Linked DNA regions of Struthio camelus. The protein of the gene in region 2 purifies or fractionates together with the protein of the main gene of each other region. This does not show direct contact. Links are inferred from orthologs where the notes say so. Each region holds a gene or a part of one and is shown on either strand. Other genes may lie near its edges.

Evidence for each region. Proteins that work in one complex are often made in the same cells at the same time.
Region 1: the proteins of SAP130 (region 2) and SUDS3 purify together in Homo sapiens (affinity purification with western blotting; 3 studies listed by BioGRID, with this or other methods). This does not show direct contact. The link is inferred for Struthio camelus from reciprocal best matches to the Homo sapiens genes SAP130 and SUDS3.

Annotation. Positions count from the first base shown.
Region 1 is NC_090958.1:7,274,586-7,278,326, reverse strand, and holds the start of SUDS3 (sin3 histone deacetylase corepressor complex component SDS3), read right to left. Parts: upstream 2,629-3,741; 5' UTR 2,557-2,628; coding exon 2,391-2,556; intron 1,240-2,390; coding exon 1,170-1,239; intron 226-1,169; coding exon 170-225; intron 1-169.
Region 2 is NC_090950.1:6,535,611-6,539,351, reverse strand, and holds the start of SAP130 (histone deacetylase complex subunit SAP130), read left to right. Parts: upstream 1-948; 5' UTR 949-1,259; intron 1,260-1,941; 5' UTR 1,942-2,141; coding exon 2,142-2,205; intron 2,206-2,663; exon of another isoform or gene 2,664-2,797; intron 2,798-3,305; coding exon 3,306-3,443; intron 3,444-3,741. UniProt on the Homo sapiens protein: Acts as a transcriptional repressor. May function in the assembly and/or enzymatic activity of the mSin3A corepressor complex or in mediating interactions between the complex and other regulatory complexes.

The DNA of each region.
Region 1 (3,741 bases), on a different chromosome or scaffold from region 2:
CTTTTCAGTGAGGAGAGCATGACCGAGATATGTGGTCAGTGAAGGGCCCTACTTACAGCTTTCAAAACCCTAATCCTTCTACGACCTCTGCAGCTGTTCCCAAATCAATCCTCAGCTTTGAAAAGTGCTGAAAATTCTTTAGAAAAAAGCTACCTCCTACAGAGCTTACCTTCCTGCAATTGCTGTAATTGCCTCTTAAGAGATGCCAGTTTGTCCTGATACATCCTGCAGGGAGAGCACACAAAATTACATAAAAATGAAAAACAAAACAAAGAGTCTATTTCACCATCTGTTTAGGTTATTGCATATATACTGAATTAAAAATTTTCCAGAACTCCAGAAAGCAAAAAACAATATATGAAAAAGTATCATTCAATTTAAAAATCCTACAGCCCCATTAACATTGCAGCACACCCAAATCAATTATTTTGAGAACAGTCATGGTAGAATTATCTTTTGTATGCAGAAATCTAACATGACACCACTTTGTCAGATCTTAATATTTGTGCGTTAGTTCCCTACTTATAACATAGGGGACATTTCCTCAGGTTACAGAGGACTTGAAGTTATAAGCAAGCCTCCCCCAGCACCCACATCAATAAAGCTAAAAGCAAGCCCAAAAGCACCAGGAATAGATTTTGTATTTCCCTTCTCACCTATCTGCAGTTTACCACAGGCTGCGTCTTCGTGACCTGTATACAACCATCTCTCTGCCAGTAAGCAAGACCACAAAGTGCTGCAAATAGACTTAAACTTCAAGAGAAGCTATTTCGAGTGCCCAAAACTCCCATCTTCCTGGACATTGCTGGCATTCTATTCTTAAGGGATTTTAACAGGTAACTTGCTTTTGACTTGGCTTGAATCAAGTAGGTCCATTGTTTTATTTAAAAGAATTTTCTGCCGAGGAATTAATTTGCAGCAAAATTGAGTTGCTCCCTCAACCTGCACCTATTTTGTTGTTCAGAACGGTAGCAGCACTTAGTGCCTTGAACACACATGGAACAGAGAGAGAGTAACTGAGGAAAGAAGAGATAGGTGTATATGGACTCATCAACTATTACACTGGGCAAAGAACTTACAAAAGTCCCTAACTTCAGCCTAAAACTTTGCAAAGTTTTATGCAAAGAAAACTAAGTATTGACTTACTTTTATTAGATTAGGTTACTTACTGTTCTTTCATTTCCACAAAGTCCTCTTCCTCATGTTTTGCCAGGTCAGTTTCACTAGCATCCTCAGTATCTAAAAAAGGTAAAGAATGAGTTGTTGAAACTAAAGTAATATTAAAAAGCAAAAAAAAGTCAAGTCATTTTAAAAAGAACAGGCAATTTAACTTCTCCATTTTACAATTCGACAGGCCTCTGGAAAGACTCATTCAGCAGTGAACTGAACCACCCCATCTGCTTCCTGCAACTGCAATTTGTCCCACATAGATTCACTCGTAGGCTTGCAATGAAGCTTACATCGAGTTTGAACGACTTCAGCTTAAGATACCCTGACAGCTTCTTCCCAATTTAAGACAACAGATTCTACATTAGTGCCCACAAATACAGAGGTGAGATGGTAACACGACCCAAAGACTCTGAAATGCATTTCACAAGAAAAACGCTACTACTAGATGCCATTACGGCTTACAAAGATAATACGTGAAGTTATTTGCTAAGATCTGAACTTGACATCTCTGCTACATATTTCACAGAAGTATTTCACCATTTACACATAGCAAAGACTATCACAATTACATAAACACAGCCCCAGTTTTGCCAACAGATAATTATAAGTAAAATAAACTAACAGGGCACTGTTAGCTTTCTGTTGTTGCCTTTTAAGGTTCCTATTTCTGAGACCAGGTAGCCAAAAATTAATTACCCTTCCTCTTCCAGGGAAAGCCAGTTTCTCCAAGGTAGAGTTGAGATTGACTTAAGGCTACAACTGTAAAGCCTAAACTACAGCTATATTCTCTATAAAGGGGGGAACGGAGGTAATCAGTCCTTTAAATCCAGCCTTTCTCAGATTTTTCTTAAACCATGAACAAATACCTTATGCTTATTTACGTTAAGGTAAAAAACAACACACCAAAGAGAAAGTAAAGTGTTTTAACTCCAAGAAGAACAGTTAAATAGCTAAGTTACCCTAAAGAAAGGGCTCCCATGTTTAATCCGGTCGCGCTGCGAGCAGCGCCCCTGAGCAGTGAGCCGTCACCTTTGTGAGGAGCTGCACGTCGCGCTGCGGCCCCGGTTCCTCCCCGGCAGCGGTGCGGCTGCCAGGGCGACGGGCCCCGCCGAAACCCACCCGCTCCGCGCTCCCCCCGCCCGGGGCTCTCCGCCGGCCCCGCTCTCCCGCCGCCTCCCCAGGCCAAGGGCCCGCAGCGCCCCCCCCCCCCCGCTACCGACCCTCGTCGGAGTCGCGGGCCCGGGCGCTCCGCTCGCCGTCCTCCTCCTCGGCGCTCTCCAGCTCCTCCTCCTCGTAGTACTCGGGGCCGGGGGGCATGGCGCCGGCGGGCGCCCCGGGCGGGGCAGGGGCCGGCGGCGTGGCAGACACCAGCCCGGCCGCGCTCATAGCGACGGGACGCAGCCGCCGCTGCCGCCGCCTCCGCCGGGCGCTCGGCAACGGCGCCAGGCCCCGCACTTCCGCTTCCGGGCTGTCCGCGCCGCTGCCCGAGCGCGGGCCGGCCGCCCGGCGGACGCCGCGGGCACCTAAGGGCGGGGTCCTCGCGGCGGGGCGGGGCGGGAGCGGTTCTCTCGAGGCCGCGGGTTCGAGCCGCGGGTTCGAGCCCCGGCCCCGCCGGGTCCGGGCGCGTCAGCGGGGCGGATCTCCAGCCGTCCTGCTAGCGCTGCCACCGCGGCGGGAGAGCAGCCGGCGCGCCCAGCTCTCTGGCCAGCTCCCGCCTATTGCGGACGTGAACGAGAGCCGGGCTCTTTCTCCAGGGCAGCCTTGCTTCGTGGCGGCCCAGAGCCGCGCAGCTCCAGCGGGCGTTACTGCCCAGCAGCGAGCTGCCCGCAGGCCCCTCAGCAGACACCTCTGCGCCCAGGGCTCTGGGAGCAAAATCTGCGTTTCCCTCTGCCAACGGGAACAGCTCCGCTCTGTGCTTGTGCTAAGGCATAAAAACACACCTTGCGCATACTTATGTGCTGCCTTTGCCAACCAGCAGCGCTTCCCCTTCAAGGGATTTATGGGGGAAAGGGGATTTTGGCAACCAGAGATCAATGTTCTCATTTTTGCCACAATGACCCCATCTATCCCAGTGAAATGCCTCCATCACAAGCCACAGGAGTTGCAATAATGCTTTTGCTCACCAGGTAATCTGGAGTAGGATGTTATAGCGATGGGAAAGGACTTCTGAAGACGCTTCTATACCCTTTCTACTTTTTTTTCCCCAATAAACGATTTCCTTGTTCCTCAACAAACTGCCACCACGGTGCTGTGATCTCACACGCACAAGGTAAAGCAGCTACTTCACATCAATAAATAGCAGCTTTCATAAAACAAAAGGGTCCAGAACCATTATGGACACTTCACAGCTGTCGGATATAGATTATTCTCCTGCCTGTGCACTGCTACAAAGTTAAGGACGAAGATACAGAGGCCACAGTGAGACACGTACGGGCACCATACTAAACACATGATCCCAGGCAGCATGAAAAAGTCTCAAATTGATATTCCCGGCTGTCTCATTTAGCCCTTTTCTGCAAGCGTAAGTCACCGGGGACGAACTGACCAATTAGCTTCACTGCCTCTAGCAGA
Region 2 (3,741 bases):
AAAGAAAGAAAAAAAGAAAAGGGAAAAAAAGCTGTTTCCCTCCAGCCCCCGCCAACACGGCGACTGACTGACAGACCATCCCTCGGGCCCAGGGAGCTGCGCCCCTTCGCCGGCGACGAACGCCGCAGCCGTCCGGGCAGGGCTGTCCCGGCGCCCGGCACCTGCTGCGCGGCTCCGCCCGCCCCGCCTCCCCCCCCCCCCCCCGCGCGCCCAACGGTTCCTGCCGCCTCCCCCCCCCCCCCCCCGCGCGCCCAACGGTTCCTGCCGCCTCCCCCCCCCCCCGCGCGCCCAACGGTTCCTGCCGCCTCCCCCCCCCCCCCCGCGCGCCCAACGGTTCCTGCCGCCTCCCCCCCCCCCCGCGCGCCCAACGGTTCCTGCCGCCTCCCCCCCCCCCCGCGCGCCCAACGGTTCCTGCCGCCTCCCCCCCCCCCCGCGCGCCCAACGGTTCCTGCCGCCTCCCCCCCTCCCGCGCGCCCAACGGTTCCTGCCGCCTCCTCCTCCCCCCCCCCCGCCCAACGGTTCTTGCCCCGTCCCCCCGCGCGCTCAACGGCTCCCGCCCCGGCCTCGCGCCCAGCGGCTCCTGCCCTCTCCCCCGCCCCGCGCGCCCAACGGCTCCCGGCCCCTCCTCGCGCCACATCACCGGCCCGGCGGGCGCGGGTCGCCGTGGTAACCGCACCTGCGAGCGGCCGCCACGCTCCCTTCCGCCTCTCGCCGCTGCCCCGGCTTCCGGGCGCTGCGCTTCCGCTGCCGGGCGAGGCGGCCCTCCCCGTGGCCATAGAGTTACAGCGGGAGCGGCGCCAGATTGTCGCCTGGCGCCATGTTGGGAGGGGTGGCGGCGAGCCCCCCGCGGCTCCTCGGCCTGCCGGCCGCCGGCCTGCCTGCCGCGGGGCTCTGCCGCGGCCGCGAGGGCGTTTGCCTGCCGGAGCCCCCGCGGCCAGGCCCCCCCCCCGGGGCGGTTTCCCCTTTCCGTGACGCGGCCCGCCATTGCCGGGGCCTGCCCGCCCGGCCCAGCCCCGCGGGGCAGCGGAGCCCGAGTTCCCTGGCACCGCCGACCGCGGCCCGGCACAGAGCTGCAGCAGCCGCGGCGGGCGGCTCTGAGAAGGCAGCGGTCAGTCCGAGGCGCCGGCAGGCAGAGCCCTAGAGGAGCAAGGGCCAGCGTCTGCCGAGCGGGCCGGTCAGCGGGACGAGGCCGGCCTTGTTTTCGGCCCTCTCCAGAGCCCCCGCACCGGATGTAACGTGCGGGACCTGCGGAGCAGCAAGTAAGAGCGGCGCAGGGAGAGCAGCGCTGCGTGGCGAGCGAGGGAGGGAGACAAGCTGGCTGTGCACACCCCCCGCTCCGAAATCCCTCGCGCCTTCAGCAGCCTTGTGACCGGCACGAGTCTCCTTTATCCCGTGCCGCCGTGTATATTGCTGCGCTGTTGTGCGCATCCCGTTCGCGTGCGGGGTCTCACGTCTTACGCTGACCCGTTTAGTCCGAGATCATGTCCCTAACGCAGCCAAGGGCCATAGGGCTAGGAAAGAGTGAAAGGCAGGGCAAACGCACGGCAGCGCTTTTCCAGAGTACTTGCTCAGCCTGGGTTTGCAGAGTTGGTAATTCCAGAGGCAGAGGTGGCATCTGCGTCGCGTCTTTCATGAGTTTGTCGAGTGAGCCGTCTCCCCCGTTGAAAGGACTTCCATGGCTCACTCGGGCTTTGTGTGGAGAACCACTTCTTTAGTTTGTTTACTGTTAGCAATGCAAGTATGAGAGGGGAATTAAAGCAGCATGGGACAGACACAAAACAATTGTTCCCTAATCACCTTCTTTATGCCATTCGTGATCTTACTGTCAGAAGTGCCCTTTAACAGTCTCTTTTCCAGGCTGAGGGTTCTGGCTCTGCTCGGGTGTTCCTCACACGCTCCATGGCGGGTTGTGTTAGCCACTTTTCTCTGAACCTTTCACAGCGTTACTAAGATCGTTTTGAGCCCCAGGGAGCAGAGTGGGGAGAGGGCAGAACGGCACATCTCCGAAGCTGAAAGTCCGGCCGGGCTGTATTAACTGCCAGGCAAGTTAACTTTGACAAGGCTGCGGGCAGCGTCCCAAGACCGAGGTCAAAGCCGCAGGACTAGTCGGTAGTCCTGGCTCGTGTTGGTCCTGCACAGCGATGCCCTTCCAAGCTGACCCTAACCACCGTCCACGCCCTCAGCTTTCTCAGCGCCCCTTTTCAGGTTTGTTCACAACGCAAGCACAAAGGCCTTGCAAAGCAAAATTAGGGATTGCTCAAATGTAATACTGTATTTAAAACGTTTTCTTTCTGGTTTAATTTTAAACCATGAACACAGCTCCGAAAACTACAGCTGATTGGCTGGCTGCATCTTTGAGCCTGGAGGCAGGAGAGCGCCGGGCGGTCGGTGTGGCCGCGCGCGCAGCGAAGCCGCCCTGGCTGAGCGCCCAGAGGCTTCTGTGCGCGTTGGGGTTCGGGAAGGAAAAGGGAGAAGCCAACCCCGTCGCCAGGCCGCACCGGCGGAACCGGGGCGCCGTGTGCCCGCCCGGGGCCGGGGCCGGGGCCGGGGCTGGGGCCGCCGCCGCCTGGCCTGCTGGCGCACGCACTACGTTTCCCAGGAGCCCCTGGGCGGCGCGGGCTGCCGCAGCCAATGGGGCGGGGGCAGCGCTGGGGGGTGGGGCCGGCCGGAGCCAATGGGCGGGGGCAGGCGCAGCGGCGGAAGCGGAGCTCGGCTCAGCTTGCAGCGTCGGTGTCACGGGAAGACGCAGCTACGGCTGCCGCCGAGGGTCCCGCCGCCGCCGCCGCCCGCGGGGCAGGTAGCGCCTTCGGCGGGGCGGCCGGGGCGCGAGGGGGCTCCGGGGCGGGGCTGGGGGCGGCGGCGGGGCGAGCGGCGGAGGAAGGGGGGGCGCCGCGGCCGCGCTCGCTCTCCCTCTCGCTGTGGAGGGGCCGCGGGCGCGGGCAGGGGCGCGGGCGGCCCCGCGGGCGCGGCGCCGTCTGGGGGGGGAACATCCGGGCCCTGCGCGCCCCGCACGGCGGAGACGGGCCCGGGGCGGCCAGGACCCGCCCCGATGGGCCAGCGCCGCCCTCCCTGCCATTGGCTCGCCGCCGCGTGAGGTCATCAGCGGGACGGCTCCTCACTGGCCGCCAGCGCTGGCGCAGGCCCGCGCCCGATTGGCTGGTGGGGCCGGGGCGCGCCGCATTGGCGCGGGGCTGGCGGGGCCGCTCGCGCGGCGCCCAATGCGGGGGGGCGGGGGCGGGCGCGGGGGGGCGGGGCGGGGCCGCGCCGCGCCGGTAGCGCCATGTAACGGTCGGCGATGCCCGCAGGTGCCATGAGCTCGCAGCAGTTCCCCCGCTCGGGCGCGCCGCCCGCCGGCCTGGGAGCAGCGCCGCCGCCGCCGCCCCTCCCCGCCAGCGCCGCCGCCGGCCTCATCAACCCCGCTGCTGCTGCCGCCGCCGCCGCCGGTAAGTGGGCGGCGCCTCGGGAAGCGAAGGCGGCTGCGCGTGGCGCCCCCCGCCGCGGTGGAAGGGCCGCGCGGAAGGCCGTTGGTCCCGGGGGGGGGCGGTGCGGCAGTCGGTGTAGTTGCCGGCCCTGACAAGCAGCGTTCAGCCCTGAACTGTTGCTTTTCTCCCTTTTTTGGGGGGTGCGGGGGGTTGACTGTCTGCCTTTCCTTGAGGTATTTTTCAGTATGTTTTTAGCAGAGGAACTGATTAGTGATTTAGGAACTCTTTCTACAGCAGCAAATGGGGCAGGAGCCCTAAT